Linked DNA regions of Oryzias latipes. The main gene of each other region encodes a partner of the protein of the gene in region 3 in a complex. Links are inferred from orthologs where the notes say so. Each region holds a gene or a part of one and is shown on either strand. Other genes may lie near its edges.

What was found. Proteins that work in one complex are often made in the same cells at the same time.
Region 1: exosc3 (region 3) and exosc2 share a complex: the UniProt entries of both Homo sapiens proteins name them as parts of the RNA exosome core complex. The link is inferred for Oryzias latipes from reciprocal best matches to the Homo sapiens genes EXOSC3 and EXOSC2.
Region 2: exosc3 (region 3) and exosc6 share a complex: the UniProt entries of both Homo sapiens proteins name them as parts of the RNA exosome core complex. The link is inferred for Oryzias latipes from reciprocal best matches to the Homo sapiens genes EXOSC3 and EXOSC6.
Region 4: exosc3 (region 3) and exosc1 share a complex: the UniProt entries of both Homo sapiens proteins name them as parts of the RNA exosome core complex. The link is inferred for Oryzias latipes from reciprocal best matches to the Homo sapiens genes EXOSC3 and EXOSC1.

What each region holds. Positions count from the first base shown.
Region 1 is NC_019870.2:12,829,396-12,835,192, forward strand, and holds the start of exosc2 (exosome complex component RRP4), read right to left. Parts: upstream 3,461-5,797; 5' UTR 3,222-3,460; coding exon 3,100-3,221; intron 2,901-3,099; coding exon 2,799-2,900; intron 2,672-2,798; coding exon 2,626-2,671; intron 2,501-2,625; coding exon 2,411-2,500; intron 2,321-2,410; coding exon 2,255-2,320; intron 2,162-2,254; coding exon 2,093-2,161; intron 928-2,092; coding exon 751-927; intron 1-750. Other genes in the region: ric1 (RAB6A-GEF complex partner protein 1), read left to right, coding at 4,421-4,561. UniProt on the Homo sapiens protein: Non-catalytic component of the RNA exosome complex which has 3'->5' exoribonuclease activity and participates in a multitude of cellular RNA processing and degradation events.
Region 2 is NC_019864.2:25,017,738-25,023,074, forward strand, and holds exosc6 (exosome complex component MTR3), read right to left. Parts: upstream 2,757-5,337; 5' UTR 2,378-2,756; coding exon 2,100-2,377; intron 1,896-2,099; coding exon 1,355-1,895; 3' UTR 1,161-1,354; downstream 1-1,160. Other genes in the region: protein FAM192A, read left to right, coding at 1-99. UniProt on the Homo sapiens protein: Non-catalytic component of the RNA exosome complex which has 3'->5' exoribonuclease activity and participates in a multitude of cellular RNA processing and degradation events.
Region 3 is NC_019868.2:3,162,277-3,168,254, forward strand, and holds the start of exosc3 (exosome complex component RRP40), read left to right. Parts: upstream 1-2,602; 5' UTR 2,603-2,634; coding exon 2,635-2,877; intron 2,878-5,198; coding exon 5,199-5,348; intron 5,349-5,978. Other genes in the region: tgfbi (transforming growth factor-beta-induced protein ig-h3), read left to right, coding at 19-86, 198-222, 287-348. UniProt on the Homo sapiens protein: Non-catalytic component of the RNA exosome complex which has 3'->5' exoribonuclease activity and participates in a multitude of cellular RNA processing and degradation events.
Region 4 is NC_019859.2:28,376,932-28,382,984, forward strand, and holds the start of exosc1 (exosome complex component CSL4), read left to right. Parts: upstream 1-2,593; 5' UTR 2,594-2,670; coding exon 2,671-2,698; intron 2,699-4,531; coding exon 4,532-4,647; intron 4,648-4,913; coding exon 4,914-4,988; intron 4,989-5,742; coding exon 5,743-5,831; intron 5,832-5,898; coding exon 5,899-5,932; intron 5,933-5,997; coding exon 5,998-6,048; intron 6,049-6,053. UniProt on the Homo sapiens protein: Non-catalytic component of the RNA exosome complex which has 3'->5' exoribonuclease activity and participates in a multitude of cellular RNA processing and degradation events.

The DNA of each region.
Region 1 (5,797 bases), on a different chromosome or scaffold from region 3:
CCAGAAGCAGGAGAATAACATATCATTTTCAAAATGACTATCATTCAAAGACGATCTTAGTTTTGAGTTGATTTACATCAGCAAAGAACTGTGATTGAGGTAGAGTGAATATCAGTTAAAGCTTAAAGATTCACAACATTAGCTATATTACATTTTTTTTAAAAGCCTCAGCAACAATGAACAGAAAGGCGCAAACGATTGGTTAGAGCAGCCTCAGTCTTGGCAAGGGCTCTGAGAAAAACACAGGAGGCAGAGCTAGAGATTGCAGAGATGAAGATGCCGAGGCTTTCTTTTGGAGTTATGAGGATGGATAGGATTAGGAAGGAAAAAAAAATCAGGGGAACAGCTTGTATTCGATGTTTTGGAGATAAATGCAGAGAAGTAGATTGAGATGGTTTGGACACACTAAGAAGAGGGACAATGATGATGTTGGTAAAAAGATTCTGAGATTGGAGCTACCAGGAAAGAGACCTAGAGGAAGTCCAAAGAGGAGGTTTATGGATGTAATAAAGGAGGACATGAGGGTGATTGGTGTGAGGGGAGATGGGGTTAGATGGGGTGGATGATTCAATGGTGCAAAGAAAAAGATACATTCAATAAGGATTCTTCAGATGACACAGCAAAAGCCAGAGAATGGGAATCAAAGCTAAGCCTCAATCAGTTAAAATATTTTTAAAACAATTAACACTTTTTAGATGACACTTTTTGATCATTTTGAAACATAAAATATTTATAAACCTACAAAGTTACCTCAAGACTGGTGTAGAAACCTCCAGCTTCCTCCTCTTGTTGTCCCAGTGTGGGATACAACCACACAAAGCCGTTATTGCCAAGGATAACAGATGCACCGCATGGAAGATTATGGAAGTGACTTTTCTGCCTCTTGATCAGAGAAGGTGAAATTTGCACCAGCACTCCCTGACCCAGCTAACAAGAATACAGAGACCCAGAAAAGAAAAAAAATGATATACCGGTACCTATAGGCTACGTTCACACTGCAGGGCTTAATGCTCAATTCTGATTTTTTAGAAAAAATCCGATGTTCTTGCAAGGCTGTTCACATTTCCAATTAAATGCGAACTTTTGTGATTTCCTGTGTGACCGTGAAATGACCCAGAAGTGACCCGCATGCGCAGAAGAGTACTCAACGGGGAACGACATCACTCGTTGTTTGCGGAAGTAGCTAACGTTAGCAATGGATGTCAACTACAGTGTTGTCAACAGCGGAGCTCTTTTTGCAGTTTACATTTATTTTCAAGATGGAGCCAGCACAATTACAATCTTCTCATTTTAAGAAGGCATTGGAGCCAGGATCGTCTGTACCCACTGTGGTGGAATGGGGATGTGTATGTGCTGGGGCCGCGCGAGCACGTGTGTGTGTGTGTAAGAGAGAGGAGAGAGCACGTGCAGCGCAGCATTCCCTACTGCGCTGTGCGCATTCATGTTGTGTGTTACGGAGGAAGGACAACGATAATAAAAAAAGGCTGCTATTGACTCTTTATTAAACTGCTCTAGAGAATCTGAGGGTCCGAACGGGGAAATGAACGCCCAAAGGAGGATCCGCCTTCGGTCCCCCGCGCTTCTGACCACGGTCAGAAAGGGGAAAAAAAAGTAATTGCCAGGAAGGTTCAACCCCACGCTCGGCCATTTCGCTGGAATTTTTTTCAAAAAACCGCCCGGTTGCGATAAGAGCCCTCGAGTTTGGCCTGAATAGAGCTGTCACCCCAAATTTTAATCCAATCGGTGACCTTGCTTGCCTTCCAATGACTGGTCTCACCAGCATCGTCCGGCATGGTTGATGTTCATGTTCTTGTTCCCGCCTACTTCAACGCAGAATAATGACTTACGGGTCGGATACATGTGGCTTGGCCATTCAGACGGAGGTCGCATTTGAAAAGATCTGATCTGTGTCGCTCAGACTGTCATAAAAAGATCAGACACAGGTCGCATAGGGGCAGAAAAATTGGATTCAGCCTGCAGTGTGAACATGGCCAGAAACACAAATTTATTCAACATGTATAACAACAACAGGGAAACAGCTCTGTAAAATTTACCAAAAGGAGATATCAACATAGTAACACTGTGCACTTACTTTTCCATATTTTAAACTGCGAGTATGTAATGACAAGGCTCCATCTGAAAAAACAGACTGCACTTCTGCCTAAAAACAGTGAGAAAATACAGCAAAGTAGTCTTTAGTGACAAAAACTATGAGGGGGAAATGTTGGCAAAAAGACTAGAAAATCCTCTGTACACTTATGAGATCACCCTCCTGAAGATATTCTCTCATGGTCAGCTCATCTTCTGCTGATCTCCTCCTCTGTATAACAAAACAACAACAAAAAAGAGCATGCAGTTCAACTCATCCTGTAACGCTTCTCTCTCGTTAAACAACACAGTTCTGTCTCACCAGCTCTCCTCCAGGCAAGTTTACTGATGACAGCAAGAGGACAGAGTCCAGTCTGGAATTGGTTTCCACCTTCCAACGTTTCTGCTGCACCTGTATATAACCATCAAATCAAACAGATTGAAAAGATTATTAGCAAAAACAGATACAATGAATCCAACAACAAAAAAAATTGTTATCTCGTTTTGCCTTTTTAGAGAACAGTTGGAATAACTCACCTCTGTAATTCTGCCGACCACAACGTCTCCAACCTCGCCATTAAATCTAAAATGACGCACAAATGATCTTAAAGAATGTTTGCAAAAGTGGGGCTAGTCCGATCTGAATGGGTCAATCCACCAACCAATTCTATTGTTCATAAACATTGAAGATTTTTGTCCTTCACACTCACCTGGTCTTCAGTGGTCTGACACAGATGAGTTTGTCCACCCTCTGCACCTCTCCAGCAACTGAAGCTGTCAGCTTTTCTTCATCAACATAAGTGCCATGCCCCCTAGAAAACGACAAATTGTAGTTATGGTTTATTAAAATCATGTAAAGATGTAATTTCTTATCCTTCATCAGTATTCCATCAGATCAAAGACACATCTAAATAAGTTCTGGTGTGTTCTGAGTTTCTTTTTAGCATGTAGCTTACCGTACTACATCAGCGTGGTATCAAACACGTGTTCCAAAACGCAAGCAGAACCTACCTCATAAAACCTGTGTCCGAAGTGATGATGTCTCCGGGAACAACGAGATCCTTTCGGTCGAAAGCGGAAGCTGACAGAGACACCGTTTTCCTCACAGTCGGTAATCTCATATCAAGAGCCATGCTGTTACCGCAACTCTTCTGGTTATGGCTTCTTTCACACTCGTTTAAGTCAGATTTAAGTTTAAAAATGCAAAAAAAAATGGTGTACGTAGTTATTGAATCTTTGTTTTTGTTTTTAAATTAACAAATGATTACCCTATAAACTTGTAATAAATGCCAACCAAACAGCATATTATGCTAACACAAAACTTTCCTCCACTTGCTTCTTTGGCGTCTTAAAAGCGTGTTATAGCTACATTAGCACCTCCTTGTGGTATGGAGTTACTACTACAGTGTATCTTGTGCAGCACATCTTGAAATAATATCCATCCTCACAAATATTTATTTTTTATTCCAAATTAGAAAAAAATTCCGTTCTTTTTCATGCAGTTTGGCACCAAATTATTGTCCATTAATGTCACATTTGGTCTTCGATAAAAAGAAATCAGCTGAGTTCTGTTTCTTTTTTCGTATACTGTAACTTTATCATGTTGCTCACATTGCTATTTGCATGAGGTCATATTTATTTATTTAATTAAATATTTATTTATTTAATTATGAACAGTATGGGACTCCATATTTCTATTCTTTCTTTTTTTCATTAAAGAAATTAATGAAACTCCATGACAATACATTCTTTCTGGATGTCTTCTCACTTGACCACTAGGTGTCACCCTCGTGTCACGCAGCAGCCATTGTCACATAACAGAGTGGTGACGTTGGATGTCAACATTAAGCAAATTTCGTGCGGCTGACCAATCAGCGTTAAGATGGATAGACTCTTTGTAAAGATGGCGACAGTGAGGCTCAGTGGAGTAAAAACTGGACGCTTATCTCTTAATGAACACCACTGGTCCAGACAGCGTAACAACTGACAAAGCTCGGGGAGCAAAGCGGATTGGCCAGCATACTGGTACAGCGGGCACAATTTAGCGTTGCACGGTGTCGCGACGGGCCTCGCCGCTTTTGTTTTCGGGGACACCGCGCACCGCTCGCTAGCTTTAAGTTTGAAAATCCAATGCTAGCCCGGGGCTAGCCGTGGAGCTCAGTCGGCTGCTTTGGTATTTCTGTATGGAATCTGTGGATTAAACCTGCCCAGCGCCATCACCGGGCTCTTTAGTAGTGTTTTTGTCTCGACGAAAGCACTATGAGTCGCCCGTAGAGGCAACTACCGAGGATCTGGATTGCTGCGCTGCCTGCTCGAACTAAAGAGCGCCGTCATGTATTTTCTAACCGGTTGGCCCCGGAGGTTGCTTTGTCCGCTGAGGAGCGAAGAGGAGCCTTTCCAGATCCAGCCCAGCTCTCAGAGGTTTTACTTCGCCCTGGTGTCAGAAACCCAGATCAGCATCTGGTTCAGCCGGGTAAGTCGTGAAGTGAAGTGAACGCACGCGCTGCTCCAGCTGTCCCTGCACGAACACAATCAGGGGAGGTTCATTTAGTTTCTTTAGTTTATGCAGTCACTGTACGATCTTTATTAAAATAGTGACTCTGTGTAGGGGTCTTTTGATGATTTTGTTTTAAGTTTGTCTCTTTACGACCTGATGGTCAAACTTTACGACAAGCCGAAGCGTGTTTCGGTTTCCCCAGGTGTGTCGGCAAATACCTGTCCATCTATCGTGACGCTGACAGCTGACGACTGTTACACGTCAATACTCTTTGAGTAGGCCACATCACGTGGGGTTATTACGCACAGCCAGCAGAGCTATGTTCATCCTACAGAATTTTTTAAAAATATTTGTTAGTTTTTCATTGGATTACACCTGTTTCTCAAACACTAAGCACCTTTAAATTGCCTGTAAATTTCCCATAGGGCCTCTTTAGATGTCTTGTTGGCCTATTTTATTATTATTTTTGCACAATCTTTATGTATAAGACTGCTTTGTAACACCAAAGCAATAATAAATAAACAAAAATACATTGTTAAAGTTATCTAATATCCCTCTAGAGCAGGGGTCGGGAACCTTTTTGGCCAAGAGAGCCATAAATGCCACATATTTTGAAATGTAATTTCGAAAGAGCCATACAATAATGTAGTGTCCCTTTCCCACACTGAGGCACGGAGACTTAACCTCTTTTAAAGTTCTTTATTCCGATTACTGCAGACCGCAACAAACGCCGTACAATTAATTCAGCAACTCCTGAATCTCTCCCGCCGAGACGCTTCTCCCAACTTTATATTCCCCTGCTCCCGCTGCAGCCCCTCCCATTTCCCTTATTCGGCCCATAGCTGAACCCCATTGGTCCAAACTACCTAACAACAGGCTGAGCGACAGAACTGAGAGCCAATCAGATCTCTGCTTGACGCGTTCAATGAACTCCAGAACTTTTAACGCTGCCCAACAGCCATCCAACTCAGTCCGCGACAATTTGTTTAAAACTAAATATACAAATGAATATGTGCATTTGATTTAATTTCAACATTTTTAAAGTAGAATAAGTCTGTGGATTCTTTTTAATAACATTGTTATTCTGTTGCTAATAAATGATGAGTATTTCTCGTGGTAGTTTTGCTGATGGTCTAGTCTGGTTGATACGTGGTGAGTTTCTGCTTAATGCAGGCGTTGAGACTTTAAACGTGATCGTAGGTCTGAATGTTC
Region 2 (5,337 bases), on a different chromosome or scaffold from region 3:
TACTCTGGCAGCAGCGACTCGGACAGCAGCTCGGACAGCGAAGGTAGCGTGGACGCAATCATGTCGCCGTACCCGCGGCACAGCAGGGCCTACAGATAAAAACACACCAACAGGCGTTCAGAGCGGGCGACCCCGACACACAAACACTGACCTCACACACACACACACCAGTTTGGACCTGCAACTCAACCACATCTGTTCATTTGTTTGTTGTGTGGCTCTCAAATCTTCCTTCGATCACATCTCACAGTTTAATCGAGCCACCAATCCCGCACTGCCTCCCCCCCGACGACATCCTGACCCCCACCCAGTCACGGCGGCTGCAGGCTGAAGCAGCGGTGACTGACAGCTGCGGAGCGAGGAAGGCTGCGTTAGACGGTCATGACTCTCACCTCGCAGCTGTGAGCAGCAGAGGAGCGCCACGCGCGCCTCGCTGTCGCGTCGGTGGAGTTCAGAGTCAGGAGGGTTTGGAAACACGTTTTTCTTTCTTCCCCCTAAATGTGTTTGTTCTGGAGAAATGTTCAACTGTTTGCTGCTGTCTTAGAAAATAAAGTATTCACTGTTGTTCTGGGAGATCTGTGACATTTATTTGAAGCAAGAATGTATAAAAAAATGTATTTTTTTACGGTGTATTTATTAGGAAAGACTAGAAGGAAGAAAACTATTTAGTAAAACAGGAAAAAATGGAATAAATATTACAAACTAGCGATGGGCAAATGATACTGAGGTAGTGGAGCTTGTGTCACTTTTCCTGAATTGGAGCAATTCAAAGCGTAGTATCAGATCCTGAATGAAAACACGGGTGACACATTACCATATAATATCCAAGCTGAGTTTCACTTTGGAGAACAAATAGGAGTTTGGTACTTTTTCTTTAAAGAAAATGTGCAAACAAATGCAATCTGACCTTCTGTATTATACATTTCTGTGATAAAATGCTAACCAAAATACAAAAAGACTAGGATTTTTTATTTTTTATTCTGTATTTTTATTTTTAAAATAACAAAACAGACATTTGCATTAAAACATTTTCTTTTTTTAAACCAGTCATTCTCAGTTTTTCATAATTTGTTTTCTTTTTTCTCCCCTATAGCATAAAGAGCAGGAAAAACTTTGTTTACCTTATTTAGATTTTTGGGGCATGGGGGGAAAAAAAAAAATCAACAAACTGACTCAAAGTTTTGTCCTGCAGGCAGACGGTGGAGAAATGAATAAATAGGATCAATCTGTTTCTTAGATCAGGGGGACGCTGGCGGATCCTTTCACCTCAGATCAAGAAACAAGGTGAAAAACTGTTTTGAATTTTAAAGTTCTTGTTGAAGACTCAGACAAAAAATAGTGTTGACTTTGCCTCTCAGCTTTCGGGTGGTGGGGGTTGCGCTCTGCGCACAGCCTTAACCAAAGCCTGCTGGATTACTGGGTACAGTTTGTAACATCCCTCAATGCAGGTCCGAATCCCTGCCGTCAGAGTCTCTTCAGCCATTTCTCCATCCGACTGCAGGCCGGAAACCTGGTTCAGGCTGGGGAGAAACGCCACGGTGAGCCCTCCTTGGTGTTCGCTGCTGCTCCAGTTGCTCTCTTCTGAGTAAGTGGGGTCGACCACGTAGGAGGAGCCATCCTGTCGGATGGAGCAGCCCAGCACCAGGTCGTACATTTCAATCCCCGCGTCAGCCAGTGCCAGGGAGGCGCACGTGATGGCGTGGGCCTGAACCGAACCGCTGTTCTCCAGGACCATGACGTTGACCTCAATCTGGGAGCGGGGGTATTTGTGAAGGCACAAGGCCGGCTGCAGACTCTCCTGCAGCATCAGGGAGAAGTTCTTGTCCTGGCTCCCCTGGATCCAGGAGCCCCTCTCCGGACAGGAAAACGGGGCGAAGCGCATGTCTGTGGTCAGTCTGGTTAAGCAGATGTGTTGATTTATCAACTTTTGACTTTAAATGTATTGTTTAAAAAATTAAACTGATTTTCTATTTTACTAATTCTAGCAGAATCCAATTACAGCCTTATCACATAGTTATTTTTTACTTTGTTATATCATTGAATGCAAACATATTTCTATTAGTCTTCCATTATAAAACTGGATGAAGACCACTACATACCGTCCACATTTCATGTCAGTCTCATCTTTCCGCTCCGTCTCTCTCGGGCCGTAAACGCTGCACAGCAGCTTGGTGTCTCCAGCTTCTATGTACGCGGAACCTTTAGCTTGACTCACCAGGCCGCAGCGCACAAACACCGGCCGGACGTCCACCTGGTCCCGCTGGCGGCCGTCCGCTCGGGCCCCATGCGACGGGGGAACCACAGAGGGTCTGCAGTCAAACAAAGACGGGCTTTGAGACACCTCGGGCCCGCGTACACGTTTGGTGTCCGTCGGCATGGCGATCTCTTCTCACGTGAACCGAATGAAGCGGGTGTTCAGGGATCGGTCCGTCAATAAATCTGTCCCCACAGCAACACGGTTCCGCTTGTTCCGATAGTGTTGTCATGTTTCATCATCTTTATTAATTTGAATTTATTCATAAAAAATAAATTAATTCTGATGGTATTATTTAATTTTCAACATATTTTATTTGTAACAGTAAATAAAATACACGCAATAGCTAAATCTTAGCAATTTAGTCAAAGCAAAATTCCGTTACGCCTTTTCTTTTAGCTAGAAATGCTTCGAATGTGTATAACTTTTGTTAGAAATTAATTATTCGTTGCACAACTAAAATAAATTGTACGTGCTAGTTGGCATCTGCGTCTTTTTCATTGCATCAACCACAGCAGAGGAGTTTGCACCACTAATGTGGCGGGCTCGGCTAAAACTGACAGCTTGGCTCGACCAATGGGATTGAGCGTTCGCCGGCTTCCTGCACATCTGAACCAATAGGTGGCGTCCGTGGGCGTGTCCATCGCCTCTGCACTTCCCTTCTGAGCGAGCAGCGTGGACTGAAGCGGTGTTTTGGGGAGCTGTGACCGGTTCGTTTTGTGATAACAGCATCTTATGTGAGTCAAACTACTTGCTTGGGTAAATGACACTCACTGTGTTGATTCGCCGGTTAGTTTTCCCCTCATAGTTGACTTCCAAATTCACTAGCAGGGACGGAAATTTCAGCGGTTGCTTTTGACTGGCTAGCATAGCAGTTTGCTAGCGTCAGGTCAGTTAGTGCATTTTGATTTGTCAGATTTAGAATGAAAGGTTTTCCAAATAGTTTTACTTACCTTTGCTTCGAAATATAGTATAGTTTTAGGGCCAGTTTGAAAGAAATGATGACTGTCAGTATAATGGCGGTTTACGACGCTGAAGTTGGCTTCCGATTCACAGCTTCCGATTCGCGAAGGCACAAAAGAAACATTCCGCTGCATTTTTCGCATTAAGATCACCCAAAACCGGGTCCTGTTCAAAAACCGCTGGACCTGGACTGCTCAAACCTGGATTAAATTATACATTAGATACTAAAGAACACATTAAATATAGTTTCTGATTTGTGAAACCTTCCTTTGATTTGTGAAAATCTGAAATAGATTGATGTTTATCGCATTTTACGCACTGAGTCCACCTTAGACCAGGTCCTGTTCAAAAACCGCAGGACCTGGACTGCTCAAACCTGGATTAAATAATAATTTAGATAGTAAAGAACACGTTAAACCCAGTTTCTGATTTGTGAAACCTTCCTCTGATTTGTGAAAATGTGAAATAGGTTGATTTTTTATCCCATTTTACGCACTGAGTCCACCTTAGACCAGGTCCACTGGACTCAGTGCGTAAAATGCGATAAAAATCAACCTATTTGAGATTTTCACAAATCAGAGGAAGGTTTCACAAATCTGAAACGGTGTTTAATGTGTTCTTTAGTATCTAATGTATAATTTAATCCAGGTTTGAGCAGTCCAGGTCCAGCGGCTTTTGAACAGGACCCGGTTTTAGGGTGGTCTTAGTGCGAAAACTGCAGCGGAATGTTTCTTTTGTGCCCTCGCGAATCGGAAGCTGTGAATCGGAAGCTAACTTCAGCGTCGTTGGCGGTTTGTGGTTTGAAAACAGACGATTTCTTCAGGCTTCATTTCAATTTGCTGACACAGAAACTGTTGCCAGTTTGACAAAGAAACCAAGTGCAATAGCATTAACGCTTCCTCAAGGCTCTGAAGAGTTGGAAACCGTAAAATGTTTTTAAAAAATATTTACATGAGCACATAACAACAGACGTAATTAATATTTTATTGTCATTTTTTTTTTGGCTATTCCATGTGTTTAGATCAGTGTTACCTGACCATCAATGCTGCAATTGCAGAATAAATCTGCATTTGGTTTTTCTGAATCAGTCTTGATATTTTTTTTTTTTTTTTTATGATTTTGTGGTTTCATCATGTTGGTTTGTGTTTATTACGCACGCCTTACTAAAGGTAATATCCCATGATTGTACTAGTTTTTCCACTTGCTCTGGCTGCTGGTTACGTGTTTTGATTACCATCTTCTTTGTTCTGTAAAGCCGATGGGAGGTTTATTTTGTTGAGGAGTTTGTTTTTAGCAGAGCTGTCAGATGGGAATTCTCTTCTTCAGCCCATTTCCACATGTTGGTGTTTTTGTGGCGCTGCGGTTAAAGGAATAGAAAATGCAGTTCCAGTTTTTTTTTTTTTTTTATTAAATAGTTTTTTCATTTTGATTACAAAAGTTCCACATTTTGTTTAACTTAAATCGCTTGTTTTGTAAAACAAGAACAAAGTAGATTTTTGAATGGAAATAAATAAAACTGAAAACCTTTTTTTACTTGATTGAATTTAAGAATTTTGAATTTATTAATTTAATTGTGATTTAGTCAGGACTTTTTGACAGACACCCAAACCTAGTCAGGATTCTAAAAAAAAAAACAACAACCTGTAATGCAGTTTTAACCTTAACTTTCTTTAAATGTCCTCCATCCTGAGATAAATGCAACAAGAACATCTTAAAAACATCAAAAACCGAATGTGAGTGGGTCTTTAAGTGTTTATAAAGTATCTTATAGCAGCTTGAAGCTTTCAGCAAATCAAACAGAGCCCTTCATGCATTTAACCAATCAGATGGATCTTTATGTCGTCAACCAATCGAATGGAGCCCTTTTTTTGTCTGGCTCCCATGTAGAAGCTGGTCATTTGGAGTATAATTTTATGTTTAAACAAAACTGCTGCCGTGAAATGGCAATAATAGTTTTTGCTATTTGTTAACGTATCATAATACATGATTGTCCCCGCAATATTGATTACTAACAACAAAAAAGGTTTCTTTATATCACGCAGCCTTACTACAAAACCGTATGTTTACATATTTTGAGTATTTGGAGGTTGGATTTCAGCTTCTGGCATATTTGAAGGATT
Region 3 (5,978 bases):
CTGTTTGTGTGTCTGCAGCTCCAAAGGTGGACAGAGAGCAGGCAGACGGACCGTCTGCTCAGATGAGATCAGCTGCGTCCTTCAGGGTGAGAGCGGCTCACTGAACGGACGGGCTTCACCTGTGACCCTCACATGAACTTGAGAAACACATTCACCTCCCTCAGCAGAACGCTGACGCCTTTCTCTGTGCTTTGCAGGTGGACTCCAGGAGCTTCAGGAACGGTGAGTGTCTGATGTTCAGTTTGAGCAAAGCGGGTCTATGGTGTGATTCTGTGTGTTCTTTCAGATGATCTTTTTCAGAAGGTTCTGAAGAGCCACTCCAGCAGGGCGATGAAGAACAGCCAGTAATGAGACAAAAAGCAGGACCATGAGGACCTCTGAGGGACCAGCCATCAGTTCCTCTGATACCTGGTTGGTTTGAGGTTCTGGGTGGGCTTTCTGTTCCTGTGTGACAAGGAGAAATGCTGTTTCTAGAAGTTTTTACATTTGTTACCAAACCAGTGTTTTGTGCTGAAAAAACAGTTCATTCACACTTCCTGAGTGGTCTTTTGTAAGGAGTATTTTTCCTGGAGTCCTCCTGTCAAACAGACACTATGAGGAGAACCTTCAGGAGCTTTCCTTTGAGTTTTTGTAAAATAAAGCTGAAATGCGACCTCGCCATGTCTCTTGTGTCCATTTTGTCCAAACTTTAGGACTCTGTGATCCATAAACCACGATGAGAAAACAGGGTTTTATTCAGAAATAGAACACTGAGAACCAATAGACAAGGAGTGTTAACTGCCAGACAAACAGAGATGACGGGTGGGGTCAGAGGGGGGGCTGAGAACCTCCTCATTTCTCAACATAAATATATATACAAACTCAATCACACTTCTGTGTAATCCAACTCTCCACACTACACTCAATTTCCTCCCTCTTTTATAAGTGTAGAAATAGAAATAGAAATATCTTTATTGTCATTGTACATGTACAACGAAATTACAGTGCAATTTTTTCCGGTGGTATAAAAAGTTAAATTAAGAATAAAAAAATAAAAACTAAACTGCGACATAAGACAATATAAGAAAGATATGTTAAAACTATAAAAAGGAGGTTGCACCTTCTCCAGTTATTGCAAGTGTAATAGACAATGGGTGGAAATAGTAGGTGATCAGAAAGACACCGCCAATAAAGGAGTAGTTCTGCAAGTGATGACCACAGACAACTTCTCTGTCCTTATGTTTTCTGGTTGACGGTTTCTACGGTGTCTACAACCCACAGAAGTGGCCCAGGAAGTGCAACTCATCCAGGATGGCACATCAATGCAAGCTGTAGCCAGGTTTGCTGTGTAGAAGTTCCATCAGGAGACAGGCTAGTACATCAGGAGATGTGGAGAAGGCCATAGAAGGGGGGCCAACCCTGCATCAGGACCACTGCCTCCTCCTTTGTGCAAGGAGAAACGGGAAGAGGCCTGCAAAATAACCTCCAGTTGACCACAAATGTGCACGTCTGCTCAGAATGGTAGAAACAGACTCCATGAGGTCGCCAGGTGGGAGTTGTGTTGACAGCCCAAAACCGTGCGAGACATTTGACATTTGCTGTAGAACACCAAGCTTGGCATAGTCACTGTTGACACAGTCTGGAGATGCGGTGGAGAATGCTCTGCTGCCTGCAATATTGTCCAACATGAGCGCTTTGGCAATGGGTCAGGTATGGTTTGGGGCGGCATTTCTTTGGAGTGCCACACAGCCCTCCATGTGCTCACCAGAGGTAGCCTGACTGTCATTAGGTACTGAGATGAGATTCTCTGACCCCTTGTGAGACCGCATGTTGGTGCGATTGGCCCTGGGTTCCTCCTAAAGTAAGACAGTGCTAGGCCTCATGTGGCTGGAGTGTCAGCAGTTTCTGCCAGACGAAGCTAATGATGTCATGGACTGGCCCGCACACTTTCCAGACCTGAATGCAATTGAGCACATCGGGGACATCATGTCTCGTCCATCCACTAACTCCTGGTTGCACCCCAGACTGTCCAGGAGTTAGCAGATGCTTTGGTCCAGGCGTCAGAGAAGATCCCTTGGAGGACCACCCGCTGCCTCATCAGAAGCGTACCCAGGCATTGCAGGGGAATCATATGGGCATGTGGAGGCCACGCCCACTACTGAGCCTCATTTTGACTTGTTTCAAAGAAATTACATTGAAGTTGGATCAGCATGTAATGTTCACACATCCAGACATCCATAGCCGAATAGTTTTAATTTCCATTACTATTTTTATTTTATTGTGTTGTCAGGACATGCAAATATGTAAAGAATGAAGCATTTCAAAAGAATATTTCATTTGTTCAGGCATAGCATGTCTTTTTTAGTGCTCCTAAATCGTTTGAGTTGTGTACGTGTGTGTGGGTGTGTCTGTGTGTTACACTATTGAGACATTTTTATACTACTTTTTGTTTCTGTAGAAAATTATTTTACCTTTTTTCAAAGACGATTATTTTAGAGGAAATTTGGTGAGACCTGGATTTATCCAAAACGTTTTGAAAGGTGTGTCCTTTAAACAGGAAAATTCTTATAATTTAGAAAGCGCTATTGTTCCTCCTGGTCACCAGGGGGCGCAAAGTAAGGATCTGATATAAACAACAAAAAGAAGAAGACGACCATGAGCACGACAGGAGGCATGTTCGCCGTTCTGAAGGAGAAAGTTGGACAGGTTCTGGTTCCGGGGGACGAGTTCTGCTTTGGTGCAGAGGAAACGATCTCTCTGTCGGAGAGCGCGAAGCCGGAGCGCGCGGTGTGTGGACCAGGGCTGCGGCGGAGCGGAGACCGCCTGGTGGTGATGAAGAGCGGCGTGCTGCGGCACAAACCGCCGCTCACCTTCTGGATCGATTCCCAGCAGAAGCGGGTAAGAGCGGACCGGTCCGAACCAAAGGTTCTGAGATCCCAACAAACTGCGTTCAGCGGTCCAGAGACGTGTTTAGAGCATTAATGTGAAGCGGTCCGGTCACAACCAGCATTCAAACACAACTTTATTGATAGCACTTCCTGATGAAATCCACCTCAAGTGCTTTATATAACAAATAGTAAAAATATCAGTTACAAATAACAAAGTATAATCAAATAAAAACCAAATACGCGTCAAGCTAATACATCAAAATAAACTAAATTAATTATTTATCAAATTAAAACATATGGACTGATACAGAGATATGGGTTTTGATTCGATGCACTCAACTAACCAAGAATTTAAAAAAATCCACACATGATCTGCGTATTTTCAATTTAGACCCAGATTATTTATGCAAACACAAGTTTCATTTTTGCAAACTTGTGTTTGCTTAAATAATGTACTTTGTTGTGAATAAATGTGTCCGCGTGCGTTCGTTCCATTGATCCTTAGGACAGTGTTTTTCAACCTTTTTTGAGCCACGGCACACTTTAACCCTGAAAAAAATCCCGCGGCACACCATCATCCAAAAAAAAAAAAAAAAGCAGAAATTCATGGTCTGTATTGATCGACAGCGCCCCCCCCCCCCGCAATCTCACGTGAATTTTTGTGATAATTGTGGCAGAAAAAGCAGGAATTTGCGGCTGTTTTTTTCTAAGAGATGAACCACCAGCTAAAGCTCGTCTTTAGCTGGTATATTTGTTAGAACTGAGCGACTTTATCAGCAGAATTAAGAACAAGGAAGTGAAGACTTTAAGCACTTCTGATTGGTCAGACTGATGACATGTGATTAAGCCTTCAAGAATGATTGGCGGAGACAGTTAAAGGGGCGGGACTTTTCCTTACACAGTTAGAGCTGCAGCTAAATCGCGGTACCGTGATTTTTATCAAAATCTCTTTAATAGAATTAAATAAACACAAAGAAAAAGTAATTTTAAGATCTTTTATATTCCTAACTACTCAGTGTTTTATCAGGGCCTGTTTGGATGAACACAGAGCTGAAATCCTGGAGATGGAAAATGTTTTTAGATCAGTTAATGAGGGCAATTTCTCCACGGCGCACTTGACCATCTCCCACGGCACACTAGTGTGCCGCGGCACACTGGTTGAAAAACACTGCCTTAGGAGAATCGTAGTGTGACGTCACCCATACAAATGGCTTACTGGCTCAAAGATGAAACAAACAGAGATGCTTGTCCTCCCCGAGCAGCAGCAGGTGAGCAGCAGAGTAGAGAACCGCCCCGTGTACTGATGATGGGTTGGTTGGCAGTGAAACATCTCTAAAGTCGGATCTTGGCGTTTACTATATTATTTCACCCATTTTGACTTAATTATTCTCTGTGCTGCACATGACTGCGTCTCTGGTCAGCGTGAGTTGGCGCTCAATGCACTCTGCAGGTGGGTGCTGGGGTGGTGTTGGTCCAGTAGACCTGCAGCTGCTCAGAACTGCACAAACGCCAGACGTATAGAGAGAGAGACAGGCACAACTCATTGTCATGGAATACCTTAAGTCAGAGAAAATGAACATGGAGGCATTAAATAATTCTTTGTGTTTTTAAAAGAGTGGATTCGACAGATGTGATCATAGGCGTAACTGATTTGTTTCCACATCTCACTTTGAGCAGTGGCCTATAGACCACATGTGTTGTAACTTTTTTGTGTATTTTTTCACATTGTTGTCTGAATTCTAATAAAACCAGGTTATGTCTTGAGCCAGGTTCAAATTTGCACAAGGTCATTTCTCTGAATATAAAGTTATATGAATGACAAGAGGATCTTGTTTGTGAAAACTGTTTTTTGCCTTGAGAATCTGTATGTGAGAGGAAAAAAAGTGGAGTAACCGGTAGGCAATTACCGTACTAAATAGGTGAGTAAAGTAATTTAATTACAATTTTGTAACACTAAGTAAACAGTTACTTTTTAGAAGTCATTTTCCCAACACTGATGCCAATATGACGTCACCCGTTTCCCTAAATAGAAAGGTAATAAATATGAACATTTTATGACGACTTTATGAATCTACTGTGTTCTGATGATGAAAACCTAATGGTTTATAAAAAATAGTGGCCAATCAGGAGTGAGCTTGTTTGAAGGTCACACCCCTATCACTTGAAAGCAGGCTACATAAAATCTGTCAAATGTTTCACACATTCAATGTGAGAAGTTATGTCAATGGGATTTTGGCTTCTTGGAGCCAGCGGGTTCTTCCTGTTTGGAGCATGAGGAGGGAGGGGTCCTTCAGTCCAGTTCTCGAATAGTCAATGGTTTGTTCTCCTCAGTATGTCGCCACTAAAGGGGAGACCGTGATCGGGATCGTGACGGCCCGAGCAGGAGACACCTTCAGGGTGGACTTTGGCGGCAGCGAGCTGGCGTCTCTGTCTTACCTGGCGTTTGAAGGAGCCACCAAGCGAAACCGACCCAACGTCCAGGTGAGTGTGGGTGGGGCTCTGTGTGCAGTCTGCTGTGTGCAGTCACTCCAAGGAGCCACTCCTGTGGAGCTCAGCACTGCAAGGACCGTTTTATTTGCCATCTGAGTCCATCTAGAGCAGCGGTCTCCAACCCCCAGGCCGTACAGACAGAATAAATAACTTACAGTGCTTCCTTTTTATTTATTTTGGAATCTGACAGATGTTTTATTTTGAAAAATTGCCAGATTCTCTGTTCCATCCGTCAATGTCACTCCTGGCGCAGGCCAAGGCTCTCTTTTCTGTCACATGATAGGTTACCACTAAAATAAAACCAGGTACTAGCAAAATGACTAAAAAACAAACGTCTTTGGAAAGTTTCTTTACCAAGGTGAAAATGCCCAGCCAGGAGACGGAAGAGGAGCCTTCTACTTCCAAAAAAAAAGCTACATTCAATAGACAGTACTTCTTTTTCACACCATGAGTGTGGAAAGGGGAGAGGATGATGACACCTGTGTGATGTACAATGACATGCGTGCCAAAATAAAACCTCAGGGTTCGTCTTGTCAGGTGTCTGTTCCTCCTTCATCGTGTTGCTGCAATAATCGTCCGTCACATCTGCGAAAACTTAGTGTGACGTCATACGGGTCCATG
Region 4 (6,053 bases), on a different chromosome or scaffold from region 3:
ACAAATACAAAATCCAAATCTTTTCCAGCAGAACTCATTCATACAGGTGAGCATCACAGTGTCATAATACCTATACCCGTGTTAACAGAAGAGGACATATAATGCACAAAAGGTTTTACTCAAACAGGTACTTCTACATTGTCAGATATGTGCTCCATTACAAATAAGGGTACTGATGAAAAGGTATTCAAGTGAAAGATAAAAGTAATTCTAAACTATTACTGAAGGACCCACTCCAATAAAAATGGTGTTTCCAATATTTTCTTGTAGCATGTTTCTCATAATGGAAGTCATATGTAAAACAACTTAAGATTAAAACTTTGTTTCTGAGTATTTATTCAAAATGTGATGGATAAGGAGTAAAAAGCCATCATTTGAAAAGGCTCAGGTTTGTGACACAGTAACTGGCCAAGTCTCCCCTCTCTACTAAAATTCTCAAGCATCCACTTGCAGACAATAGATCCAGGTACGTTTTTGTTTTCCTCATCTGAGATGATATCTAGCTCCAAACAGTATGGCTAGAAAGCTCCATTATGGATTAAGGAAATGTATTGAAATTTAAAGAGCAGGGGAGTTTCTGACTGGACTGTTTAACAAGATCTTGGAGAGTGAAAAGATGTCTAAGAAATGGAGAAGAGTTCTATTTTTAAGAAGAATGCCGACGGCAGAGTAGTAGAAACTAAGGGGAATAAAGAGTCAGACAAGGAAGTTATGATAGTGGAAGCAAGACTGAGAGTAGAAGTGAGCATTTGTGAGAAATAGTATGGTTTCATGTACAGAAATAACCACAGATGTAATATTTATTTTGAGGATGCCTCTGTAGAAAGACAGAGAAGATCAGAAGGAGCTGCCTTGAGTCTTTACAGATCTAGAGAAAGACTATGACAGAATATAGGGAGAGGTTGTTGGTTCCACCTCCTGTGGTTTGGATGAGGAAGTCAGGAGTGGCGGAGAGAGAGTTGAAGTTCCTCAGGACTGTTTTACATTGAAGTGAATGGCTATGTGATTTCTTAAAAACAAGACATTTTCAGAACCATCCTAAATATGACAGTGGGTGGACATAAATCAAAAATCCATACAGAAGAAGTTTGTTCTGAATTTATTTAAAAGGATACTAAATTAGTTGAAACCGTTTCAAGAAGGTTTTTATCAAAATAATTGTGTGCTATTTTTTTTAGAAAAACTGGAGTAAAGATTGATTTTATTTCCCTCTTATTATTTTCACTCATCAGGTTTTTCCTTTGAGTAGGACTACACAAAAGAAGATCAAACACGATCCCAATGACGACATCTCGCTCCAGCCAAATGAAATATCATTTTTTCCCTAATATTTGGAGGACTACAGATTTCTTAGTCGCATTGGTACGTTTCTCACTACAGTATTAAAGTTTGCAGCACTTCTAAGGCATTTCTCAAAACAGATTTTTCAAACTGCAAAACTCGATGCACAACCTGCAAAAGCGAGTCACTCTTTCAGAATGGAAAGTCAAATTCTGGAAAGGAAGTCAGTAGTTAAAAAATGGGTAGTTCAAGCTGCAAAAGCAAATCCCTTAATCAAAGTGGATGAATTGATCTTCAAAGTCAAGTATTTATGTCAGTGAAAGTTTCAGTGTCATCAAAATAACAAGTTATGACTCCAGCATCTTTGAACAATCAAGTCAAAAGGTTTATACATGTTTTCATTGAGACAGATTACTCTAAAAGTGCTTCCCAATACCATGTGAGACAGCATTACATACCACGAATGGCGTTTAGAAAACTGGAGTTTAATAAAAAATGAAGACACTGTATATGCACTTCTGCTGTAGACTCACAAAGGTCTTTTTTTAAATCTCTTTCTGCATGGTTTTCCTGCAATCCAGGCCATAGTTCATATGTTTTAACAGAGGGGAGTGGGAAGGGTGGGTTGGGTTTTTACTGTAATATTGTGTGTTTTCTGTTTTTAATGCTAAAGCGCTTCGAGCTGCACAAACGCATGAGAAGCACTATTTTATAAATAAAGTTTGATTTAATTTGATATGACATGGTTTACCACATGATCTTCAAGTCTTGCCCCATACTGAATGTAGTGACTGACCAAAGCTGTTTGTCTGATGATCATTACACAAACTAAATGACCTCCCTCCCAAAGAAGAAAAAAAAAGAAAGAAAGCAAGAAAACAAAAAAAGGGGAACACCAGTACTTAGTTTGACAGATTATCTCTGCTCATTAAGTCACAAATTCTCTACTTTGAATGGACATTAAATTTGTTGTTCAGAGTTGTTGACATTTGCAATATTACCGTTTGTGCGCAGAACAAAGTCATTTTATTTGAGCAGAATTAACAACTTTGTCATTTATAGAAATAATTCTAAATTAAACTTGCCAACAAAACCCAAAAGACTAATTAGAAACGAGAAAAAAATCGTTTTTAAAAGCTCTTTTTTATGCAGCCCACTTCTAATAAAAAAGTTTTTGTTAAATTGTATAAAATATTAAATTACTTCCAAATAAAATTATATATATATATCGATACAAAATTAACCAAATTATTTGTTTACTGCTACACCGTCACGTTTCATGCCCATGCGCACCTCTTTCGGACACACCCTCCCACTCTGAATTAACCAATCAGAGTCGCCTCGCGCCCGTGAAAAGAGCCAATTGAGTGGTGCGCGTCTTCCGCAAACATGTCTCCCACGAGGCTGTGCGTTCCAGGTAAGTCTCCGTAAAAACCGCTTTTAGCGGTTTTCTATTGGTTTTGTGTGTTGTTTTTTTGTTAATCCCGTTTGTGAGTCTGTCACTGGGACGCCAGAAAATGGCGTAAAATTCTCCGTAGCGGTATAACGTGTAAATGTTGCTGCCATAGCTACGCGCGATTTAGCTCGTCTTTGCGCACTCATCGTTTAGGTAGTAGTAAATTCGTAGATTTGCGTTTGTGTGCATGCTTATATTTCCCTTTTCTTACTTAGTTTGGGCGCGTGCTCGCATTTTCTGAGCTCCGAGACACGTGAGGGGGCGGGGAAGGCTCGACACGTGAAGGACTGTGACTTTTCCCACCCCCGAAAACTATGCAGTCGATCCTTAGGATCACGTGGTTATAGCGGGGCCCCATGTGGTCCCCTTCAGAAGTTCGGACGGGTACAACATTTTAGAATATTGACTATTGAAAGCTGCGTCATGCATCAGCAGAAATGTGGTGTTCGTCTGAAACAGCTTCTAGTCAGTTAAGTCCTGCTGTCTTTGTACAACAGTTCATCATCATTCACTACTGTGTCAAACTTAAGGCCAGGGGGCCAAATGTGGCCCTCCGTGTTATTTTATGTGGCCCGCGGGAGCATGAAAGTTTTTAATTTCTTAAAATGAAATGTTTTTTTAGTTGATTACATATTATTTGTGTAGCTGCAGTTGTAATTATACAATGTTTGCCGGTCTTGTGTGTGTATGCAGACAAATTGTTGTCATCAAACCATCAGTTGGATGCAAGGCTGTGAGCAGCCTTTTATTGTAAAATGTTACACGTGTAATTAATCTTCTTTCTAGCTCAGTTTTAAGTTATTTTTCTTTTTTCACTTGGACAGTTTGAGCGTGGGTTTTAATAAGCAGACAAAATGTAGAAGGATTTATGCTAAATTAACAAGCAAACATGTTTTCTATGCAACTGTAATTGTCACTATAAAACGTTATATTTAATAAATGAGTTATTTAACATTAAGGAGTAGTTACGTCTATCTTTCATTACATTTGGTTACATGTATAAGTTATATCTGGCCCTTTGAGGGCAGCTGTTATGCTGATGTGGCCCTCAGTGAAAATGAGTTTGACACCCCTATACTAATCAGTATTTACCTGTTTAATCAATTTTGAAAAGACGTATTGAAACTGTAGTTGGAAATGTGTCTTTTTAATAGTGTAAATATTGAAACAACAAAGCATTTAATGTTAAACTAGGAAAAGGTGAACATCCTGAGGAACCTTTTCAATAATCGGATCCAATATACATCTTGAATGTTATATTTGTCATTTAAACTAATGGCAGAATAAACAAATGTATAATTGCAGATGTCATGCCCCTCCACACACATGGAATGGACTCATAAATGAACCTTTGAATCTGAGCTGTATTTTACATACTTAGAGCCTGAAGATTATTTCACTAAACATTCAGTTATATATATATACTCTAGCTCCCCTTCCAATATACTATTTATGAAATCTCTATAATATTTATTTCCTTGTTGGAATTCAAAAACAACAATGTAATAAATAATATTGTTTATTGTTTGCTGTTTTGCATATGCATATGTATAAAGGAGCTTTGTGCCTCTGCTGTGAGAAAAACGAAGCAACTATTGCAAAGTTTGCAATAATTTCAAATGGAAAATTATCAATATTGAAAGAAAAACAAGAGGGGGGGGGCAGACACATGACAGGCTCTGATTGATTGAACACACCTGATCAGATAATCTGCTCTAGAAAACAGGTAAATCCTGTGGTTTTACTGTGGTTTGGCAGGAAGCCCCACCTTCATTCTGACCATCTGTGTCTCAGGTGACAAACTGTGCAGCGTGGAGGACTGCATTCTGGGAACTGGAGTGTATCTGCGGCACGGCTACATCTACTCCTCTCTTGCAGGCTACGTGCTGAAGAAGAATGAGGGGGAGCAGGTGAGGAGGGGTGGATCTAGCAGAGTTGACTTGTTGACACATCTTCCAAGTCTGTAGTTAAGGGGATTTTCCTTTAAAGAGAGAGAGTATTTTGTTTTAATTTTTTTCAAATTTGGGGACAAACTGTAGTTCATTTATCGTCCAGCCTTACCATTAGCCTGACTCCACCCACCCTCTAATCCAGAGGGATCAAAGTTTGGGATGGAACGGGGTGATGACGAGTCTGGTCCGCACTGGTTCTCGTGCACGTTTGTGGTGTTTTACAGTTACCTGTGATCTCTGTGGTCAGAGAAACAGAAGTCCAGCTGTTGCCAGATGTGGGCGCCATCGTCACCTGTAAGGTAGGAGGGGGGGCTGACACAGGTGGGACCTACACTTTTAGCCTCATTAGGAGATTTTTCCAGGACTTTGTCACATTCATGGTGCTTGTTTGGTAGCGGAATTGTTTGCAGATTAGAAATATAGATTATCATAGATAATTAATTAAATTTATTTTTTTAAACAGAAGAAAGTGCGATGATGACAAAATACATGTGGTAAATGGATTCAGTATTCCTGCCTTTGTCTTTGCTGTTTTCCTGCATGTTTTTAAAATCATAAATAAATAAAAACATCATAACTAAACTCACAGCTGTAGACTCCCTTCTAGTCTAAAGCAGCTCCACATTTGAAACTGGGTTGCATTTAGCATCACAGTTTGACATCTTTTCTGTCTGTTGCTGAACCACAGGGAGACTTTCAAAATCAAAGACGTGTTTGTTTTCAATACCTAGAACAGAGAGGAGGACTGGTGTTATTACGCCATTTGGAAGCGGTTTCACACTCACATGTGTGAACAAATATTAGCTCCTATTTAGACTGATTCTACAAGAGAAAAGCTTTTACAGCACTTATGTAATCAAAGGTTTTTCCAAAGCTTTAGCTGACACCAAATTGCAGATAAGATGATGTTTTCCACATAGTTGGTTAGGTTTTGTGGGACAGATGCTGGACTTCTCCCTGCCAGAGAAAGTTGTTTGAATCCCAGAAGCTTCTAGTCTGAATATGTGAGTACATCAAGCACACATTTTAATTGTCAGATCCTTCATGTTACAGGTGACGAGCATCAATTCCAGGTTCGCCAAAGTGCACATCCTGTATGTGGGCTCCACGCCGCTCAAGGACCTGTTCAGAGGAACCATCAGGTGAGGCAGAGTGGACGCAGCAGATGTGGCTGTTTTAGTGCTGTCTGACGCTCTTCTGTGTGTTCAGGAAAGAAGACGTTCGCGCCACAGAGAAAGATAAGGTGAGCGAGATCCGTTTGGCCCGGCGCCGTCCGTCCTTGCTGGTCTGACGTTGAGCTTTGTTTAGGTGGAGATGCACAGAAGCTTTAGACCTGGGGACATTGTTCTGGCCAAAGTGGTATC